Linked DNA regions of Coturnix japonica. The protein of the gene in region 2 interacts with the protein of the main gene of each other region in a biochemical or structural test. Links are inferred from orthologs where the notes say so. Each region holds a gene or a part of one and is shown on either strand. Other genes may lie near its edges.

Evidence for each region. The genes of interacting proteins can lie anywhere in the genome.
Region 1: the proteins of COPB1 (region 2) and ARCN1 form a complex in vitro, tested with the Homo sapiens proteins (2 studies listed by BioGRID). The link is inferred for Coturnix japonica from reciprocal best matches to the Homo sapiens genes COPB1 and ARCN1.

Annotation. Positions count from the first base shown.
Region 1 is NC_029539.1:4,767,569-4,772,125, forward strand, and holds the start of ARCN1 (coatomer subunit delta), read right to left. Parts: upstream 3,080-4,557; 5' UTR 2,912-3,079; coding exon 2,909-2,911; intron 2,893-2,908; exon of another isoform or gene 2,878-2,892; coding exon of another isoform or gene 2,875-2,877; intron 1,675-2,874; coding exon 1,411-1,674; intron 838-1,410; coding exon 658-837; intron 440-657; coding exon 234-439; intron 1-233. Other genes in the region: IFT46 (intraflagellar transport protein 46 homolog), read left to right, coding at 3,187-3,489, 3,906-4,045, 4,239-4,313, 4,427-4,520. UniProt on the Homo sapiens protein: Component of the coatomer, a cytosolic protein complex that binds to dilysine motifs and reversibly associates with Golgi non-clathrin-coated vesicles, which further mediate biosynthetic protein transport from the ER, via the Golgi up to the trans Golgi network.
Region 2 is NC_029520.1:14,570,331-14,574,417, forward strand, and holds part of COPB1 (coatomer subunit beta), read right to left. Parts: coding exon 4,022-4,087; intron 3,030-4,021; coding exon 2,910-3,029; intron 2,502-2,909; coding exon 2,394-2,501; intron 2,305-2,393; coding exon 2,158-2,304; intron 1,928-2,157; coding exon 1,782-1,927; intron 846-1,781; coding exon 749-845; intron 326-748; coding exon 165-325; intron 28-164; coding exon 1-27. UniProt on the Homo sapiens protein: The coatomer is a cytosolic protein complex that binds to dilysine motifs and reversibly associates with Golgi non-clathrin-coated vesicles, which further mediate biosynthetic protein transport from the ER, via the Golgi up to the trans Golgi network.

The DNA.
Region 1 (4,557 bases), on a different chromosome or scaffold from region 2:
ACAAAATGCTCCTTGCATGACCAGGGGGAGAGAAAGCTCTTGATTCCCAAAACACAGCACCAGCCTGACAAACACCAACAGACCACACCAGTGCCAGCCATACCTGACCACTCCCTTATGTACCCACACACACACACCAGGTACTTCAGCACCTGTTTATCCATGAAGACTCAGGAGGAAGCCAAACAAAACCCTTCAGACAGCACTAACTGCTGCCAACTGCACACACCTACCTGGACGGTGCTGGTGCCACTTTGGGCTTCTCTGTTTCAATGATGGTCTCTGTGATCATTGCTGCTGTTGTGCCCCCAGACACAGCTGAGCTGCCAAAGCCACCGAAGCCAGGCGCCTTCTTGCCCAGCCTCTCTGCATCCCTCCTGGCCTGCTGCAACTCCTTCGCTTTACGACGCATCTCAGCTTTTGCTTCACGTTCCTGAGTCTGAAATAAAAGATGAAAGCTGCTAAAGCTTTGCAATCTCAGTTTTATTCTGTACAGCTGCTCACGGTGTCTTCTTACAAACACAAAATGCCAAAGAATGGGTATTCAGTGTACAGGAAAGCTAAGTATCTTTAAAAGCCTTGCCAAAGTGGAGTAACACCTTTGCATAAAGAAGCAGTGCTCCCAAAGCACCTTGCACCACAATTAGTTCCACTCACCTCTCGGACAGCTCGGAACACCTTTTCTTCATGCGACTCCATCTCTGTGAAGGTCCGAATTTGTGCCAAGTTTACATTCTCACGGTAGCCCAGGGCAACAATTTCATCAAAGGCAAAAATCAGGTCAAAGCAGTGCTCAGAGATCTCATTCTCCTCTAGAGCTCGGCAATATTCAGGGATCTAGGTAGGGAAAAGCATTGCAAACAGATGTAGATGTGACAATCAGCACCCACTGAGCTGCTGTTTAAGATGAAGTTTTGTGACTATTTTTTTCCTTCAACTAAAACACTTATGGAGTCTTTCAGCACAGTTTTAACTTTGTAATTCACTACAAAACACACCCTGTGATGCTGCTCAGTTTCTTGAAGATCCTTCAGCTGCACAGATATAGATTATGAAGTTAATTAAAAAAACAACTGCAAAAACCCATGACTTAGAAATCCATTTAGAGCACTGCTATGCTTCTCAATCACAATGTGAAGCCAGGACTGAAGGAATGCAGTTGCTACCTAAAGAACATAGAAATATCTGACACTACATTCGCAGCATCTCTTTGGCCTCACCAGTTAAATGGCAAGCATGGATTTCTCACATGTAGTTCAAAATTACCACAGGAGCAGCAAAGGTTACTTCCAGGTCAGGAACAAGCCATAGATAACCAAGTTATGAGGTGGAGGCAGAGTGCTTCAGCACCAGCTTGCCACTGTTTGGGGCTACAGGTGTGAACACAGGACCCGACGTGTAGATCCTTACCACTCTAGAGAAGAGTCGGAGTGTTTCCAGGTCTTCCAGGATGTTGCTGTTTTTCGTGGTGATCAGCACCATGTAGAGCTTCTCCATCGGCTGATACACGTACCTCACGCTCTCTGTTTCCACAAAGGTGTGTTGCTTCCCAGTGTTCATCAGTTTGGGGAAAGCTGCCAGCAGCCCCTCGATGCGGGTTCGGGTCATCTCCACAAACTGCCGGGAGACGATGGCCTTCCCTGCCTTGGTGCAGACAGCTGCCGCCAACAGCACCTATAGGGACACAGACACAGCATTGAAAGCTCTCAGTCCTCCATTCAGGCTAATGCAACACCTTTTCCTATAGGGCTATGACAAAACCCCAGCAATGCTTTAGGCAAAAACTGACTTATCTGTTAGTTCAGCCCCAGCAGAAAAGTCACAATAAAGACCAGAACACTTTGAAATGTGACATCTCTTCCCAGTGCCACACTTAAACTAAGCCGGGTTAATAAAATATTGACCATTATATTAATTACAGCACGTGGATGGTTCTCCTGGGCATTTCACTGATGTTATCACACCAACAATAGAAAGGCATTAAGGTAACTGCCAATTCACCCTTTCTCATTCTCTCCGCCTCGACTTCGTCCTGAAATACTTCTCTCACAGATTAGTTTCTTAATTAACATAGTGAAGATAAAGCAGTTTCTAAAGGTAAGATCCTTTCACTCCCCAGCCAGTTTTAATCACAGTATCCTAACAATGAGAAGCACCAGAAGTTCTTCAGTGTCTGTACATTTCAAGCATGAACCCCAGCACGGCCAGGTGAGCAGCCAGCAACTGCTGTACATTGAGTGGCCATAGGAACCCTGTAGTCAGGGATATCTTGAAGAAAGCAACAGGCATAAGCCTCCATTTCCCAACTGCTCTTTGAAAGGGCTGTGAGTGCAGCACAGCACAGCACAGCACCGAATGGCACAGCTGATCTCAGCAGCACCTCGGCCTCTGTCACCAAGCAGCAGGTCCCGTTCGGGGACGGAAAGCTCACAGCTCCACGTCACCCACAGCCAACGGGACACAAGTGACCTCCACCCGAGCTGGCAGCTGAGGCAGCAAGAGACGAGGCCTGGTTACAGATGTCAGCCTTAACGCTGCAAGCAGCCTCCACGTTACACATCACGCAGCGCACAGCGGGCAGTGCCCCCCAACCGCCCTGCGGCAGCGCCCGGTAAGCGGAGCTGGAGGCTCCCACAGGCCGCGCCACGTCCGGGCCCGGAGCGCAGCGTCACCCGGCGGGGCAGCACGGCCTGGAGCGGCCCGGGTCCATCGCGGAGCTGCGGAGCGATCCGACAGTGCTCGGGGACGAGGCCAGAGAACGGCAGCGGAGCCGCCGAGCGATGAGCGGCCTGGCCAGGCCCCGCGAGCTCTCCGACCCCGGTCCGGCCGGCAGCGGCCCCACGAGCGGCGGCTGAGCTCTGGGCACAGCCTTACCATGGCGGCGGCTCATGGCCGGGCACACCCTTACCATGGCGGCGGCGCTCGGCTCGGCGCTCGCTCCCTCGCGGCTCCGCGTCCCCTCGGGCAGCCCCACAAGATGGCGGCGCCGAGCCACGTCCCCAGCCGGAAGCGGCGCCGCGCACGACGCGAGGGGCGGGGCGGGGCGGGAGGACCCGGAGCGCGGCCCTGGGGGCGGCCCGCGTCAGTACCGGCCCCGGCCGGCAGGGGGCGACACCCACACGCGGCTGCGGGGCCGGGCCGCGGGCGCCGCTCTAGCCGGGAGAGGGAGAGCGAGACGGGGTCGCCATGGCGACGGAAGGCGGCGTCATGGCGGAGCGGCGGCCGGCCGAGGGGAGCGGGGACGGGCCGGGCCGCGCCATCGCCTCCCCGCGACCCTCCGCACAGCCTCGGCCCGTGGAGAACCAGCCGTACGACGAGAGCCTGGAGCTGCCGGACACCGAGGAGGCGGCGGGGAGCGAGAACCGGCCGCAGGGATCCCGCCGGCCGGGGCCGATCTGGTCGGGAGGAGGCGGCACGGGAGCGCGGCCCAGCGGGGCGGGAGAGCGCGGCAACGACCGGGAGGGAGGAGGAGGCAGCAGCAGCAGCAAGGTACGGGGGGAGAGGGGCGGTACGGCACGGGACGGTACGGCATGGTATGGTACGGTATGGTACGGTACGGTACGGTATGGCACGGTATGGTACGGTACGGTACGGTATGGTACGGTATGGTACGGTATGGTGCGGTATGGTACGGTATGGTACGGTATGGTACGGTATGGTGCGGTATGGTACGGTATGGTACGGTATGGCATGGTATGGTACAATACGGTATGATACGGAACGGTACTGCACGGTACGGTACGGTATGGCTCGGTACAGTACGGTACGATACGGTACGGTACGGTACAGTATGGCACGGTACGGTACAGCACGGTATGGTATGATACGGTACGATACAGTACAGTACGGTACGGCACGGCACGGTACGGTACAGTAAGTAAGGCCGCGTCCCTCCTGCCCTGAAGGAAACAGTGGCCAGGCTGGGACCCTCCACCGCCAGCGAGGACGACGATGATGACGATGATGATGATGATGATGACGATGATGAGGATTCCTCCGAGAGCGACTCTGAGGACTCGGAGGAGCGCGGGGCTTCACTGGAGGGGTGAGCAGCGGAGGGAGCCGGGAACCCGTGGCTTAAAAGGGTTGAACAGAGTTGTGCACGGACAGGAAGCCTCTTACAGTGAGAGTGTCCTGCTTCTGCTTTGGGGCACAGCTGGATCCATGTTCGTGCCTTTGTTCTTGTACAAAAACTGATAGGAAGTAATGTCTGCAAGAATTGCTTTTCCTCTCTTCAGTGACTACAACCTCGCAAACTATGACTACCTGCCGGTATCTCCTGAAATTAAAGAACTCTTTGAATACATAAGGAGGTGAGTTGAAGGAGCTTTCGCCTGCCCTGGGTTCTCCTTTGTCTCAAGGTCTTTGTCTCTGGCAGGAAATGTCAATTGCCCACTATGCAATCCTGTTGTTTTTCTCTCTCAAGATACACTCCGAAAACAATACAGATTGAGCACAAACTGCAGCCTTTTATTCCAGACTTCATTCCTGCTGTTGGAGACATTGATGCCTTCCTAAAGGTACAGTGTTTTCAGATATCCCCATACCTGCTGACAC
Region 2 (4,087 bases):
TCAAGCAGGAATCCTCGCAACGGAGGCCTAAAAGGACAGACAGTCATCAGAAACCTAGTTCAGAAGATACTTCAAAAACACTACATTGACCACTCAACTCTCCATGACAGAGAACGTCACTTAAAAAAAAACTTTTACTAGGTCTAGTATGAAATCTTAAATACCTGTCCTCCTCCTTTTTGGTGGGCCGGGAACTACTCAGAGCACTCTGGGTTGCATAAGTACCCATCTCTGTCACCAGTTTCTGGACTGGGCCCACGGTCACCTCTTCTTCAGGTTTTAGCTCACCAGCTTCCTTCTTGATTTCAGATTCTACAATTGGGATCTAAACACAAACACATAGATGTTCAGGTACATAGAGAAACCTCCTACAGCTGTGCATAAAGCTCATGACACTGCATACAGTGCTTGCAGAGCTCCCAAGACTTAAAGCACTCTTCATTTTTAGTGCATATAGCTATGGTACTCATATGTTCAAGTTGACACAGTGTTCTGAAACAAGCAATTTTTCACCCACTCTCCTAAATCTGAAGCATTCTAATATTTATTCTCAATACATGCCAGTTTCTACTTAAAAATAATTCAATACTGAATGCAAAATCTACTTTTTGCTTTTGGCTTCTTGCACACACAACATTACAACCGTTCAAAACTCTGTATTGCATTTTAATTGTTTTAAATCCTTTCTTTAGTACAATGTATGTAGTGAGATAAACCACAAAAAGTTAGAATAACAAAATAAACACACCTCTCCAAGTGATCTGCGAACTTCTGTCATTACACTTTGTATATCCTCCTTTGTGCTGCAGTACTCTCCAAGGATCCATAAAGCTCCTCGATAAATCCTAAAATAAGAAGAGGAATTTAACCATGTTTTAATGATAAACTAGCATTAAGGGTAGCTATTCATGGACAAATTCAAAGGGATGTGATGGGCAGGAAGTAGGTTTGATCTACAACATTTGTCCTTTCAGCCTCAATAAACTAATGAACAAGTATATAAAATAAGAATTCTTCTCTGCTACTGTTTCATTCCACCTGTGCTAAGCTTGGTATTTATAAAATTACATTTCATTACCATCACAACCAGCTCTGCATGTTAACAAAGACAGCTGTAATTTCCACAGCTCCCTGAGACAAACTAACTTCTCATTTCTCCTATATGAAGGAGAAAACAGAAGGCTGAATGAAGATTAGAGGAAAAAGAATAGCAGTGCTTTTCAGGGTTGGGCTTATTTATCACTTAATGACATACTGACAGAGCCAAAAACTTGGGATACTCAGAAAGAGGCATCTTCAAGCAGAGAAGTTCCCCTCATATGACTGATCCATCAGAATACCAAGCTTTGAGCACTTTGCAAGTACTAAAATGCTCTCCAGATTCTTATTTTAGGGCTTTCTTTTTCTGACAAATGTCCAACTTTTTCCAGTTCCCTACAACTGCAAATTCCCACTGCAATATTCCCTTAGTAATTCTGTTTTAACAAATGTATCGCTTTGGTGTTGGCCTTCAAGAACGTCATCCTCTAACAAACAGAAGCACAATTAACAATAGCATCAAGAAAACAATTTGAACTCATCTGTGTTCATGTAAACAGCACCCACTCTATCATATAAAAAGAGGAGAGATGGAAACCATCTCCCTGTGATCATCTACCTCCTGTACCTTCTGTGTGTGTGGACTGCAAGGCTTTTGGTACATACTTAATGACAACATACATTCAATGTAAATGAGCCACACACTGCTCCAGTTCTGGTTTAACATTGTATCTGAGACTCACTTGACAGATTTAATTGCATGAAAGACTTCAAGCATCTTCTCAACAATAAGAGGTCTGAGGTTATCAAATCGCTGGATTGCTTCCCGAACAAATTCCAGTACGTCAGCAGCAGCAGCTTCATTATTATCACTGAGGAACTCCATCAGCTACCACAGCGTGGGGAGCATTAACACAAAGAACAAAAAAGTTACATTTCTATCACTGTACTACGTTCAGATGCAGATATTTCTTTAGCCATGAGAATTAGTCTGACTGACTGTAAACCCACTTTTAGAAAAAACCTTAGCTTCGCTTATTTTTTTTACGCAGATGGGTAGTAAGGATTTTGGTACAGCAGGACATAACTGAATGACAAGATAATTAAAGATTTCCATACCACTGGAATAACATTCGCAGCCATATCTGGAAACCGAACACTGCAGGAATGCAATGTACGAACAAGCAGCTGCCTGTATTTGTCAGTATCTTCATGCTCTGTCACATTATTAGTCTTAATCACTTCTTTCTTCAGAACAATCACAAGCTGCAGAAAAGATCAAAAAATTGAGGAAAGTCACGTATTTTTCTGGTGAATAAAAACATGTTATGAGACATGTGTAATATATCTTTTACCTCCTCCACATTTCTTGAAGAAACCAGATCCAGAGCCAGCTGAAGGGTTTTTTTGCGCACTTCCAGATCTGGGGTACTCAGAACTCTGAGGATGTCCATAACCAGATCCTGAAACAGTTAAAAAATAAATACATAACTGCTTTGTTGCTTCAAATTACTCCATCCTCAGTTCTACTTTTCAGTGCCCAGTAATTTCCCAAGATGTTGTGGACGCAGAATATATAACATAGTGACAAACATACAACATATCCTAGAGGTTATGAAGTTCAGTCCTCATTTCATCCATTCTTACTCTTCTCAGGCAAGCTACTAAGCCTTACAATCACGTCAACATTTACCGTAGTTACTGCAGGCAATAGATACAGCAAGCCTAAACGTAAAAGACCATTCAGCTGTTTTCAACAGACGTATGAACAAGAGGTTTAAATTTCAGAAGGGCATTTTGTACCATGACACCTGAAAATTTATAGGGAAGGAAAAACACTCAGATGGCTGGCAAGAAAAGAGCTCACATACCTGTAACACTCGCTCATGGGAGGGATGCTCCTTTAACTCAACCAACCGATCCAAAACAATCAATTTCACATTATTATCACTTTCTTTAATAATCAAATCTATGTAGCATTGGGCAGCTGCCTACGTTAAAAAGGAACAAAAATATTTATGTAAGTAACAAAGTAGGAAACTGGGCAAATCTTGAAGACAAATTCAGGAAAAGACAGCTTTTACTTATCTACTAGAGCAACAATGCAATGAGTTGGCACCGAAATTAACCTGAGAAGTGTTTAAACTTTCTGATAAACCACAAAGATGGTTCCATCAGTTTGTTATAGTAACACCACAGGAAGATGCACAGCTTACAATTCACAGCCTTGATTTCAAATTCAAACAAAACCATAAATTTCCTTGCATGCTTTGAGTCAAATCTTAGGTATAGGACAGGACATAAAAATGAATTTAAAATAGTTGACAGTGTTAGCATATCTAGATATGGTTTTAATGACAGCTTCTCCGTATGATACACATACTCAAGGAAAATGACTGCACTAAAGCAAGAATGTAAGAATTAATACACCTGAATTAATACACTTCTTTTGAAGCTACTATTTACAATATTTTTACTCTTATTCTAGACTGGTATATTCTATTTTTCATTAGAATTTAGAATTCCCTTATGATCTCAAGTAATCAACACCACAAAGATAAATAGGAATGTGAGGTCAAGCAGGAATCAACACAGATCTTCAAAGCCGTGCGTTACCACTTTGAAAAAGAATCACATTTCAGAGTAATGAAAGTAATTCAATCTCTGGAAATCTTCAATACTGGTCATCTTTAACAAGAAGGTCAAGAAAACAGCAGGTTGATACCAACTACTGTGATAAATTGCACAGATGCACAAGCCTGTCCATCAGCAAGTGGCATGAGGTCCACCAGCCACAAATCTGCAACATACAGTCCTAGTCTCTTCTGAGCAATTTTAAGAGACGTTTTAAGACAGTTTTACACACGAACTGTCAAAACTGACATTTTCCTGAAGCCTTCATACTTCAAAAGTACAAGGTATAATACACAGCACTACAGTGCACCAGCAGGTAGTGGGATGTCTGGAAACAGCACTTCTATACCTTGATTGCAGTCGGTGCACTGGAGAGCGTAACTAGTGTTCCTGCTGCTTCATATTTCACTGCAGG